Linked DNA regions of Rattus norvegicus. The protein of the gene in region 1 purifies or fractionates together with the protein of each later gene. This does not show direct contact. Links are inferred from orthologs where the notes say so. Each region holds a gene or a part of one and is shown in the gene's direction. Other genes may lie near its edges.

Evidence for each region.
Region 2: the proteins of C10h17orf49 (region 1) and Smarca5 purify together in Homo sapiens (affinity purification with mass spectrometry; 5 studies listed by BioGRID and IntAct, with this or other methods). This does not show direct contact. The link is inferred for Rattus norvegicus from reciprocal best matches to the Homo sapiens genes BACC1 and SMARCA5.
Region 3: the proteins of C10h17orf49 (region 1) and Hmgxb4 purify together in Homo sapiens (affinity purification with mass spectrometry; 4 studies listed by BioGRID and IntAct, with this or other methods). This does not show direct contact. The link is inferred for Rattus norvegicus from reciprocal best matches to the Homo sapiens genes BACC1 and HMGXB4.

Annotation. Positions count from the first base shown.
Region 1 is NC_086028.1:55,450,505-55,454,815, reverse strand, and holds C10h17orf49 (chromatin complexes subunit BAP18), read left to right. Parts: upstream 1-1,504; 5' UTR 1,505-1,569; coding exon 1,570-1,590; exon of another isoform or gene 1,591-1,748; coding exon 1,749-1,843; exon of another isoform or gene 1,844-1,958; intron 1,959-2,310; exon of another isoform or gene 2,311-2,392; coding exon 2,393-2,494; exon of another isoform or gene 2,495-2,998; intron 2,999-3,165; coding exon 3,166-3,353; intron 3,354-3,576; coding exon 3,577-3,681; intron 3,682-3,908; coding exon 3,909-3,973; 3' UTR 3,974-4,168; downstream 4,169-4,311. Other genes in the region: Rnasek (ribonuclease kappa), read left to right, coding at 364-440, 913-1,054. UniProt on the Homo sapiens protein: Component of chromatin complexes such as the MLL1/MLL and NURF complexes.
Region 2 is NC_086037.1:44,174,785-44,179,142, forward strand, and holds the start of Smarca5 (SWI/SNF-related matrix-associated actin-dependent regulator of chromatin subfamily A member 5), read left to right. Parts: upstream 1-1,555; coding exon 1,556-1,561; intron 1,562-3,906; coding exon 3,907-3,981; intron 3,982-4,358. UniProt on the Homo sapiens protein: ATPase that possesses intrinsic ATP-dependent nucleosome-remodeling activity.
Region 3 is NC_086037.1:13,369,359-13,373,361, forward strand, and holds the start of Hmgxb4 (HMG domain-containing protein 4), read left to right. Parts: upstream 1-1,200; 5' UTR 1,201-1,265; intron 1,266-1,783; exon of another isoform or gene 1,784-4,003. UniProt on the Homo sapiens protein: Negatively regulates Wnt/beta-catenin signaling during development.

The DNA of each region.
Region 1 (4,311 bases):
AGTGTGTTGCCTTCGAAAACGGTAGCTGAGGCCTTGATTCCCCAAGGCTCTAATGACCGCCACTTCCAGAAATATGAAGTGTGTTTCCCTCATCTCTTCCATCTGCTCCCATGATAATGACGCGTCTTGGAGAGCTGATTGCTATATACCTCCTTATACCCAGTCACTCTTCCCAGTGTCCTACCTCGCTCCCTGTTACAGATGGCTGAGTCCGATTCCAGATACAACCACCCTGCTCCTAGCCCTTTCTAGTTAATCTCTGGTGCAAGTGTTGGGCCAACATTAGAAATGGGAGGAGCCTAGGGAGTAACCAAAGCCGTAAGGTAAGAATTTGACAACCTACCTATCCCCTTACTCTTCCAGATAATGCTCGGGATATTTTTCAATGTCCATTCTGCTGTGTTAATTGAGGATGTCCCCTTCACAGAGAAAGATTTTGAGTAAGTGGTCGGGTACTTGGGCGAGTTGGGCGTAGATGAGAAGTAGCATGGTTTGGGTTTATGTGGAGGACACTTCTGAAGACTGGACATTTATGGCCCTAGGCTGGGGACTTCAAGGGCTGCTCTTTACAAAATAAGTTTAATGGCAAACGTGTGCTTCACACGCAGGGTCCTACTTTCAAACCCCAGGATGAGGGCAGGAGGGGTGGAGGGGGACTTAGGAGCAGTCTTGCAAGTCAGGTTTCCTTGGTTACCCCCAGCCCACCAGCTTAGATGTGGTCTCTTCCAATATTTTGCCTTCCTGCTCCTTAGTCTACCTCTGTAAAATGGACACCATGATAGAACTCAGCTGGTATGATTCTCGGAAAGACTAGTAGAAGTCAAAGTGCTTTAGCATGGCGTCTGATACATAGAACTTGCATATTGGATGCTCTGAATGGTTTACATTTCCCTGCTCACTCGCCACCTTCAGGAACGGCCCTCAGAACATATACAACCTGTACGAGCAAGTCAGCTACAACTGTTTCATCGCCGCGGGCCTCTACCTCCTCCTCGGGGGCTTCTCCTTCTGCCAAGTTCGTCTCAATAAGCGCAAGGAATACATGGTGCGCTAGAGCGCAGTCCGACTCTCCCCATTCCCCTCCTTATTTAAAGACTCCTCAGTCCATCTGTTCCACTCATCTGGTGTCCTTTGGGACTGTTACCCTGGCGAGACGTCATCCCTGGCCCTGCAAAACTGCTGCCCAACCCCTGGAGGGGACCGGGGGTGACCGCGCCCTGTCCTGAACTACAATAAAAAGAAGCGGTTCTCCTAAGTTTGGTGTCTGTGCTTTCAAGGAGGGGGCGGGCCTGGGCTTGAAGGACAGACCGGCCTCGACGAGGAACCCGAACCCTTCGACGGAAGTGGAATGAAGCCAGCCGGAAATGAAGCGACGTCTTCCACCTCGTCTTCCTCCGCGCAGCGAGGCAGTTTGAGTGACTGGGGAGAGGTCGTGTCTCAGCCAATCAGCTGCAAGAAGGGCGGGACTTCCTGCGCGGGAGCCAGAGCGGCCGGCTGCCGGGCTCTCCGTGGTTTCCAGCTCGCGTGGTGGTGGCGGCGGAGCGTCTCCGTGAGGAGGTGCGCGGGGCCATGACGTCAGCGTCCACCAAGGTTCGACCTCCCTCGCGGACTGCGCTCCCTGGCGGCCACGGGAGGGTGGGCCCCCTGCCTGGCTCCCGGCTGGTGCGCGCTGGGCGGGGGGCGGGCGGATCCGAGGCTGGGGTGGGACGGCGCGATGCCGGCCCCCCGTAATGCTGCTCCGCCCCCAGGTTGGAGAGATCTTTTCCGCGGCCGGCGCCGCCTTCACGAAGCTCGGGGAGTTGACGATGCAGCTGCATCCAGTATCGGACTCTTCCCCTGCCGGGTACGTGAGACCAGACTAAGACTTGGACGCCGAGAGCAGACGTTTGGACTCAGTCACAGTCACGACCCTTTCTAGAGCAGGGAGATTTACTAATTCCTCTGTGCCTGGCCCAGCGCTGTGTAGGTGTAAATTGTTGTTGAATTAGTGAATGACAGGTAAAGATACTACCGGTCCACAACCCTCCGCTGCAAACCGACATACTGTCTGCCACCTACCCCAAGCCTTGTGGACTCCCTCAAACTGCTGCCACACATCGTTCAAGGGTTCTATTTGTAAAGCCCCTACTTGTTGCATTGGTTTCCATGGGTTGTTTATAGAAGCTGTTACATGATGAAGAGATGTTTTCAAGTGGCCCTGGATGCAATTTCATGTGGCTAGCGGTTTGTCCCCAGGGCTTTTCTTAAGGAGGTTCTTTTTATGAATCTTTGAAAGGTGCCCCTAGAGACTAGAGGGAAGAGGCTACTTACTGGCTGTGGACGGAATAGCCTGTGGGCTGGTTCCACACACTCCTCTGCCATTTTTGCTATCACCCTTCTCCCCTTCCGACAGTGCCAAGTGGACGGAGACGGAGATAGAGATGCTGAGGGCTGCTGTGAAGCGATTTGGGGACGATCTTAATCACATCAGCTGTGTCATCAAGGAACGGACAGTGTGAGGGAGGGTGGTTGGCAGAGAAAGGGGAGGGTGGGCAACTTTCTTCCTCCTTACCCATTGTTCTTTCTCAGAACTCCCAGCTCAGCATCTTTCCTACTTTGTTCCTAGTTTTGTTAGCATTTCCTTGAAGACTGAAAGACCATAAATGTGGCAGTTGGTTGGAAGTTCAGGAAATGCAGTGGTCACTAGGAAGGACCTGCAGAGAATTTTATTTTCAGGGTGCCCCAGATACACAATGGGTGTGTTTGATGGTGAGGGTTCCTTGGCTATTTATATAAATCCTTTGAGACTCGCATGTCCAGGGATGCATTCTGAACTAATTAGCTGGACAGGTTCTATGAGAAAGTCTCAGTCTGCCTCTCTGTCACCACAGCGTACCTGGTGGCCCTACAAATCCATACATCTCCCAGAGAATCATGAAAAGGGCCTTTCTGGCCACTCAGTTCAGGAACTCCATTCTTCATAACCAGTTATCCCTAAGTGGATGCAAAGGTTCTGAAGGTGTGTGGGGGTGGGTGGGGGACCCTGATGACTCATGAATTAAGGCCTTGACCTGGATATTTATGAAGGAACTAGAATTCCTTCAGAGTGGCCCATTATTCCCTTCCCTCCCCTCTTCCCTCCGCTTCTCTGATGACTCCCTAATCTGGTCTCTCTCTTATCTTCAGGGCTCAGATAAAGACCACTGTGAAGAGAAAAGTATACGAAGACTCCGGTATCCCCCTTCCAGCTGAGTCACCCAAGAAAGGTCCCAAGAAGATGACATCCGGTGTCCTCTCACCTCCAAACGCCCCTCCGCCCAGCAGCTCCAGTGTCCCTGAAGCTGGGGGTCCTCCCATAAAGAAACAGAAGGCTGGTGAGGGCTGTGGAGTTGCTGCCTAGGGTAGGGGTTAAAGGTCCTATCTGAGATTCATTGAGAGAATTGGGCCTGGATCTAAGAAGGAGAGACCTCTCTCTTCTGTACTCCGATGATTCCAAAGCGGGTAGAGGGTTGTGTAAGGCATGAAGCTTTGGCTAACTGGGAGGAGGGGAAGACAGCAGTCAGGGAAACCTAGAACCTAGCCTATGCCCCCTCCCAGATGTGACACTCAGTGCTCTGAACGACTCCGACGCCAACAGTGACCTGGTGGATGTCGAAGGGCTAGGAGAAACTCCTCCAGCCAAGAAACTCAACTTTGACCAGGGTAGGAGTCCTCCTCCTCCCACACTGGCTGGGGTGGGGAAAGTACTCACCTGGATGGTAGGGGACGGCCCTAGCAGAAGCCCTTTTTTGGTGCAGGGGCCTCAAAAGGAAGACTCAGCACAGGGGACTGGGCCAGTCAGTAATACGACGATCGAGGAGGTGAGGGTTTTCTTGGAAAAAAATCCTCCGTGCTTGCTCCATCTCTGTCCATTGTACTTCCTGTTCCAGACAGCCTGACCCTGGACTCTGGCCTTCTCTCGACCTCTGCTGATGCTCCTCTACTCTCCTGCTGAGCCTTCCACCTCTGACCCTCATTGTTCACCCTGGACCTGTGGATCGCCTGGGACTCTAAGCAAGGACTGCACGAGAGAGGGTCAGAGGGCTGCTGGAGCTACCCGCCCTGTTCCTGATAACCACCTCACCCTTTGACTTCTGTCTGATGGACGTTTTTATACAGAAAATTATAATTAAAAATAATTCTCTCAGCATGGTGCTGCCAGCTGCTGTTTCCTCTTCTCCTTCGCCCTCGGGAGTTCAGCCCCTTCAGTAGCTCTCACCACCCTGCCTGGAGCAGCACAGCCAATATTGGCAGACTCACTTACCCGTGCCAATATTTCTGTGCTGCTAGAGC
Region 2 (4,358 bases), on another chromosome or scaffold:
TCGTTTTCAGATCTCAATTCTGGTTAAAGATTATTCGACTGGTTCGAACATTTAAACTTATATATGAATATTATCTATTCCAAGAAGTTTGAAATTAGGTCTGGAAAAGAGTTTTATTCAATATAGGTGGGGACGAAATAACGAGCGGGATTAAGATGACAAATATCTTTTGTGCATGGGAGTAGGTGTTTAGATTCTGTAGGATAGGACGAAAGACCTCAGTAGCTTCCATGACAGCCTGAGGCAGGATAAAGAAGCAACAAGAACAACGAACACTTTTCTCTTTGTAGCCCTGGCTGATCTGGAACTCGCTCTGTAGATCAGGCGGCCTTGAACTCAGAGATCTGCTTGCCTTTGCCTCCCCAGTGCTGGGATTAAAGGCGTGCATCACCACGCCTAGTAAACACTTCTGGAGACAAACGTGCATTTTTGTTTGATGTAAAAAACACGCTCTCATTTGTCTTCATCTGTTGCCATTCGTGTTCTCACAGGGCAGCGCGTCTTCTGGCCTAACCTGAAGTTCACAAACGCCGAGATAGACCGAACTCTCTAAGGGGAGCTGACCGATGCAGCGAACACAGAGTTTAATTCTGAGGAGATTTTTCTTCTCAGGCGTCCAACGTCACTTAACGTCACGCTAGTGAGCGAAGGCGGTAGGACGACGAAGGCCAGCCCAGGCCTCTGCTCCACGCCTAACAGTCGCCAGGCAGTCGCGCCGTTCCCAAGCGGGCCTCTCTAGCCGGCGGGAGACAGCGAGCGGAGCCGTTACGGGAGCGCCGAAGAGCCAGCTCGCGTCACACGAAGGAGCGAACGCGCAAACCTCCGCCGACGCGCCTCCTCGAGGCCCCGCCCACTCGCCTTCCACAACCCGCTGGCGGCCCGGAGGAGGCGGAGTCTAGGAGGAACAGGCGCATGCGCCCTCGCAACCCGGCCCTCGAAGGGGGAACTAGCGATCTCGCGAGGGTTGAGAGCGGGTGGCGTAGGTCGCTGTCTGGTTGGTTGGAGAAGATAATCTACTCCGGTAGAGGAGAAGGCGCCGGGAGACCTCTGAGTACCTTTCGCTTTCCTTTCCCTTTCCCTCGGCCCTCCGCCTCCTCACAGTCAGCCCGCCCTCCCTGACCTCCTTGACCCCGCTGGCCCCGCCCACCCTCGTCGACGTGATTCCCGCCGTGAGGTAAACGCCAGTGGAGCGGAGTCCCGCGGAAGAGGAGGACTAGGCGAGCGTCGCGGCTGGGCCGGCTCTGGTCGGTGGCGGAGCCCCTGCGCGTGAGAGCTTCCGGGCGGGTCTCGCTCCTCCGGCGGCCCGGACGCTAGAGCCGCGCAGGCCCAGGCCGCTTTCCTCGGCGCCGCGCCTGCCCGTGGCCGCGGCGGGTGACGCAGCCGGAACATGTCGTCCACGGCTGAGCCTCCGCCGCCCCCGCCTCCCGAGAGCGCGCCTTCCAAGCCCTCGGCGGCGGGCGCCGGCGGGAGCAGCAGCGGCAACAAAGGCGGCCCGGAGGGCGGCGCGGCGCCGGCGGCTCCGAGCGCCACAGGCGCGGGTCCCGCGGACACCGAGATGGAGGTGAGCGCGGCCGGGGCGTGGGGTAGGGAGATGGATGCTCTGCTGGCGCGTCTCCCGCACTTCACCTTTACGTTTTCCCCCTCGGTGTAGCTAGCCTAGCCAGATCGCGGATCGCTCTTACGAAACACATGTTCCTGATTACTGTGGCCGAAGGGACCCGTTTCCTCTATCGCTAGGCTCCCCCAGAACTCGCTCGGGTTCCTCCGATTTAGGTTTTAGTTTGCACTAAACTTTGAGGAGGGCGAGGGAAATGCCCCTCCGGAGTGGGATTCCCGGGGCGAGGGCGACGTTTCCCAGCGTCGCAGCTGAGGACTTGCGCCTCCAGTGCCTCATCCCGTGCTGGCGGGGGCGGCATCAGTCTGTTCTGGGCAGAAACAATGGCGAGAACTGGAGGGCCGAATGCGCAGTGGGGATAAGCGGGGCGCAGCTGCTTCTGTGCAGCGAGGGGAGGCCCCTCCTGGGCCCTGCTCCACTGGGAGGAGAGCGAGCATGACAGCCGCAGCACCTGTCTTGGTTCCCCATCCAATTAGGGGTGTATGCGTGGAAAACTGAATGAATGGGAGCATCGGGGGAGGGTGATGGGCTCCTAGCCCAGTACGTTGCTTCCTTTTGAAGCCATTTGGAGGAATCGCTGTTGAACCACCTTCTCAGGGCTCTAGTGGGCCAGATGATGGTGACAATACTGGAGGAAGCAGGGAAAGGGTGGAAAATGGGGGAGCTGCCAGGCAGGTCTCTTGGATATGCTCCCAGGCTTTGAGTTGCCTGGAAACCAAGTTATTGCTCCCAATTTTTATTCTTGGCCTTGGTCTTGTTTTGAGGTGTTATTATTATTTGAGGTTCCAGTCTGAAGATTCCTGGGAATTTAATCCTCAGATTGGAAGTAATACAATAAAAATGAACCTTAGCATAGAATTTACACTCTAAGGAGATGATGGTGCAGTGTGCTTACTTTTATTGGGCAGCTTGGGTGAAATATTGTTAATCTTCGAAACAACTTTTCCTGGGGAAGGTAGGTGCTGGTGTAGTGCACCAATTTGAAGTGAATGCAATTTCAGTTTAAAAATGTATTTGATGCTCCCCCTATGGTTTTAAATGGTTTTTAGAGTTTCTAGGGTTGTTTAACTTGGATTCTTATATTTCTGTTCCATGAAATAAAGGAATCTGGTGGCTCAGGCCTTTTAATCCCAGAACTTGAGGCAGAGGCAGAGGTATCTCGTGAGTTTGAGGCCAGCCTTGTGTACAGAGCTAATTCCAGGACAGCCAGGGCTACACAGAGAAATCCTGTCTCAAAAAACCAAAACAATAAGAATAAACAAGTAGGAACTATGACATAAACAGAAAAGGAGTGAAGAATAAGATTGAGAAAAAATAGAAACTATTGGTATTTCTATACTGAGAAGACCCAGTTTACTCGTCTGGTTAATGGAAATACCACTTATTTGGGCTTTTCACATTTATGTTCATATTTACATTTTAATTGAAAAACAGCAACTCAAGAATTAAAGAATTTCATTGGGGTTTAAATTCTCCTGGTTATTTTATTCCCTCTTAAGACAGTTACCTTCAGACTGCTTTTCATTGTCTTAACTGAATTTAGAATCAGAACTAGGTTTGAGTTGAGTATGTCTAATGTATTTGAGGACCTTAGGTATGTTTTACAGTTGGAAAAAAAGACTGAATTATAGACGTAACATCTGCAGTTGGAAAACACACATTATTATTGTAAGGTGTACTTTTCCTTGAATGTGTGCTACAAGAATTTTTCTATAAGTTAGAGCTGGAGGTTTTGTCATTTTGCTTGTGGCATTTGAATGTCAAGATGCTTTTTAAGAATAGAATATTATTAACTGGGAGTCAGACTAAGGGTATGCTATGTAAGCTCCTTTTTTGGGTAATGTCCTAGATAGTGGAAATTAGGATCTAATGCTTCCTTCTATGTATACATTTGTATAAAATAACACAGTAGATAGATGGAGTTTTATGATATAAAGAGAACTTTGTTCACATTCATGTTACCTAATTTGTATTTATAATTTTATTTGAAAAGATACAGATTTGCCCGTATGGCTTGTATAAAAAGTAATTTTGTTTTAGGGTGTTATTGATACTAATTTTATCATAGCAGATCTTAATACAGTTTATAATTGGGAAAAGTGATTATCCCCATAGTATTTTATTTTCATCCATATTAAGTTTCATTCCAGGTTATCTGATAGCCAGTAAATATCTAGGGAGTTTGGAGCAAGAGTATATTATTTAGAATGATTTTTTTTTTTGAAAGAAATGAGTGTATGATAGTGAGTAGACAATCCTTAAACAATTTGATGAATTTCCTTTCCTACCAGGAAGTATTTGATGATGGATCACCTGGAAAGCAAAAAGAAATCCAAGAACCTGATCCTACATATGAAGAAAAAATGGTATGTTCTAGACATGTGAATGGTTTTAATGAACTTTTTTCTCAGGATAATTAAATCTACTAAACATCTGTATTTACTTAGATGCTTTTAGAATGTCAACAAAACAGCTTTTTTTTTTTTGTAATTATAGAGTGGTATTCTGTTGACAGAACAATTATCCTTGTATAAGCTGCAACAGAGACAAAACTGAAAACCCAAAAAACTACCAGTCCACATATATAACTAATTTGTGCTATGTATCAGATACAAGAGCCTGTTTTAAATTTCCATGCCACTTTATAATCCCCAGGCTGTTCCAGGCAAGGTTAGTGGCTATTGAAAACACTACAGGACAAGGCTGTCTAAAGACACCTTTGGTAGTGTGGTAACTGTACAGG
Region 3 (4,003 bases), on another chromosome or scaffold:
CCCTATAGCAGTGCTGTTAGCAGTACAGATGAAGGCTGGGTCTTTTAGTAACAAGGGACCAGCTTCTGGTTGCTCTGATCGAGTGTGCACTGTTCACATGGAAGGCTATTATATACTTACACTAGGCTACAAGAACAGGGTCTTTATATTAAACCAGGCTCAGGACATTGCAAATGCTTACTGGTCTAAGTTCTCCTCAGCAAACCAGAAGAAACTGTGTTTCCTCCTGTTTCTTAGAGAAAGAGTAACTTTTATTTATTTCTTTTTTGTGTGTTTGTAGGGGGGCATTCCTGTGGCAGTCAAACTTGTATGAATCAGTTCTCTCTTTCCACCATGTAGGCTTCCGGTGTCAAACACATACCCAGAGGTTTGGTGTAAAATACTTTAACCCACTGAACCAATTCGCCAGTCCTCTTAACACTTAAACAAAAATGTGTGTGAGCAATAGAAATGTAGTGATTTGGTGAGAAAACAGCGTATCTTCCACCTCACCGGGGATGCTATCCAGATGTAGATGCTAAATTACAAATACACACTGCTATTAATCCTCATCACTCTGAATCCAGCAAAGAACAGACTGTCTTGAAATACACATCATAATATTCTGCCTTAAATACTGAAGACTTAGGGGTAAAAAGAGAACAAGAAGGGCTACTATTAGGTGACCAGAAAGAACAGAGAATGCAGAGAAGGACCCATGAGTTCGTAAAAGAGAATACAAAGCTAATTGTTTTTCTAATTCTAAGTTTTCCATGGAGTTTTCCGGGCTTGTATGTGTACGTGGTAGATAAGTACATAAAAATGTAGTTGACAGTGAACGTGTAAAATCCAAAGTGAAGTTCCACAGTTTCAGAACTTCTGTTCTAATTGCATAGTTCACGGACCTGTGAAGACTCTGGGTTGGGGCAGGTGTTTGGCTACATTAATCTGCTTGCCTGACATTTTTTATTTGCGATTTCTTTGCAGAAAGGATTTTTTTTTTAATTCAGGAATAGTCAGAAAACTTGGGCAATTATTTGTTTAGGTCGAGAAGAGATTTTTAGACTAAACCTGGCAAGGAGTGGTGTATCCTCAAAAGGTACCGCGACCGCGCTCAGCAAGCTATTCGATGCGCTCGACGCTCTTTCGCTGGCGCCGTAGCACCGCGGTAGGAGTCTGCGCTCTGGGCTCGACTGAGGCTCCCTGGTTGCTCGCGCTTTTCTCTCCTTCTCCAAGATGGCGGCGGTCGGCGGCGCTGAGGCGGGATCCGAGCGAGCCGAGTGAAGGTAGCGGCGAGCGGAGCCCCCACCAGACCCAGCCGGACCCCCACCCCGGGGCGGCAACGGCCCTGCCCGGCCTCCGCCCACCGCTCCGGCCCCCCGACACCGTCCCGGAGGCTCTTCAGGCCCGCCGCGGCCTAGCTCAGGGGCCAAGCCGGGAACTGGAGTAGCGGCCGCAGCCGCCCCGGGGAAGGGGCTGGAGCGGGCCGCAGGAGGAAGGCGGCGGGAGCTGTTCAAACCGGGAAGGCGGGAAAGCTGCGGGGCCGGGAGGGGGCGTGCGGCCGCCCCAGGGACCCGCGGCCCGCGCCGCCCCTCCCCCTGCGCCGCCGTCTGTGCGCTCCGGGGCGCCGGAGGCCGACGGGACGCGGGAACTCGGGTCGGGAGGAGCGCGGCTGGGGACCCCAGGCGCGGGTTACCTGGGGCTGTCAGGAGGAGAGGTCCCGGGCCGACGGGCGGGAGGGCTGGGCGCGCGGCGAGCGGGAGAGGATGCGCGGAGCTCCCTGAGCTGCGCAGAGCTTTGTTGAACTAGCGGTTGCAGCAGACCTGCCGAGGTTAACAAATCGGGGACCCCGGGAACGGTGGTCTTGGGGACTGTGTGGATAAACAATCTCGTATTGTGTGTGTTCTTTGCGTGCGACTCAGTTTGAACATGTCTTAAGTGGAGTCATCTCCATACAGGCCCATTTCCCCCTCCACAACCACTACTTGTAGATTCACTTTAGTTTATATCATACATCAGACAAGATATGTCTACCGCCCACCCTACCCTTGTTTCTAGTACTGGCTGATTCTATTCCCTTGTAGCAAAATAAATTTTTTTAAAAACTGCATCCAAAGTAAAGCCTGTTGATTACGCATGGCTTGTCAAAATTTGGATCGCAGGTTTCGTGGAACCGAGTGTGTTATTAGCCAATCTGTGCTGTGGTCGTGATTACACTTATTAGCATTGCAACGAGAAGATTCAGTGCGCGTTTCTGGCTGTAGAGATCTCTGCAAGTTCCGAAGCTGGCAGGGGCTGGAGTGCTGCTTAGGTAGGTCCTTGGAAAAGGGTGTGGCGAGAAGAACTCCAGGAGATCGGATAAGGAAGGAAACCCACTGAAACAAGAATTCACCTGTGCTACGGTAGAAGTAGCAACAAAATATCAGAATCTGTGGACATCTGGAAGTGTTTCTTCCTTTGACTGCGTGGACTGGCAATCTGAGTTCCTAGAAACAGCCTTGGGGGAAACCCCCATCTGGAGGACAGAGACCTTCCTTGCCCAGTTTACTAGGTGGATTTTCTTTCTCAATTCTCCAATCTGTTCTGGGATGATGATGATGATGATGATACTGTTAGCGATTGCTGGAATAGAGATTACCTCCAAAAAACTCATTTTCTGAAACTTTTTTTTTATAGTTAACACTTTGAATTTCCAAAATAACAAAATTCTACCTTTGAAGATTTTAACTTTTTTCATAATTACTTGGTTATCCCAAAAGCCTGTGCTGAAGGTTGACCTGCAGTTTTACTGTCAAGTGGAATTAAGAGCCTGCTTCTCCTTTCCCATACCCTGAAGAAAAGCCTTGGAAGAGCCCAGCCACCGTGTTCACGTTTTCTAAGCATTCGCTTTCTATATATAATGACGTAAACAGTATTAAACAATGAATGAGCTTTTCTATGCTGTCATGTCTTTGCACACCAAGACAAACACTAACTGTAAGATTATCCTGATCCAAGAAGTTGACAACATTGAATTTTGTAAACTCCAAAATTATGGAATTCGAGAGAATGGATTTTGGCGCCTGTTTTATGTTGCCAACATTTGATGTAGTTTTCTGATGTGAAAATCAAACCTAAATTTTTCATCTTCATTAACCCTCCCAGTTTACTTCCTACCCCGGAGTCCTCAATTTAATTGGTGTTTATCTAATCTTGTATAAATGTTCCTGAACTCTGCTTTCTTTCACACTGCTGCTTGAGACCTTTTTCCCCTGGTACTGTCTTATGAGTCAGCTACCATGGAACCCTGAGCCACCATTCAGGGCCCGCCAATCTGCCCGGCCTGTGACTAGTCCATAGTAGTTCTCGGTTTCTGGACTTCCCTACATATTGGTGACCTGGACTTGTGTTCAGGGCTCACTCACTCTTCCCATGAGCATCTGGTCTTTGTTTTGAGAAAGTTCCAGTAGTAGCAGGTATGACCCTAATACAAAAAGCCTGCACATCTGTGTTGACCTGCCTTAAGGAACATTCCCTGATTTTACTTTTCCAAACCATTTTTAAAAATCTACTAGTTTTTCACAGCAGTCAGGAAATAACTTTTCATACCTAGTAAAAAGTTCAGTCAGCTCCCACACCAGTAAGATACTGATTAATTCTGTCTCATCAGTTTTAATGTTCTCAAGGAGGAAAACCTGTTTATGAGTCTCTGAGCCTGCCTTTACTTACGTTTAAAAGTGTATTGGTGTTTGACCAATACACTTTTAGTGGCTGTATCATGAGACTAAATATGGATGTTGTTGGACTGGGAAGGAAGAGGGCATTATTTCTCAAGAATTCTATGCCAAAATTCATCTGGCATGAAAAGCCTGAAACTTCAGTCTAAAATTGTTTTACCTAGTATCAGCCTGTGAAAGCCAAGGGGACCTGTATGGCTTTCTAATAAACTCATCGTTTTTGAACTAGTGAGAATATTGCCCTTGTTTTGTTTGAGAGATTCTCTCTAAATAGTCCTGGAATTCATTATGTCAATCAGGCTGGCCTT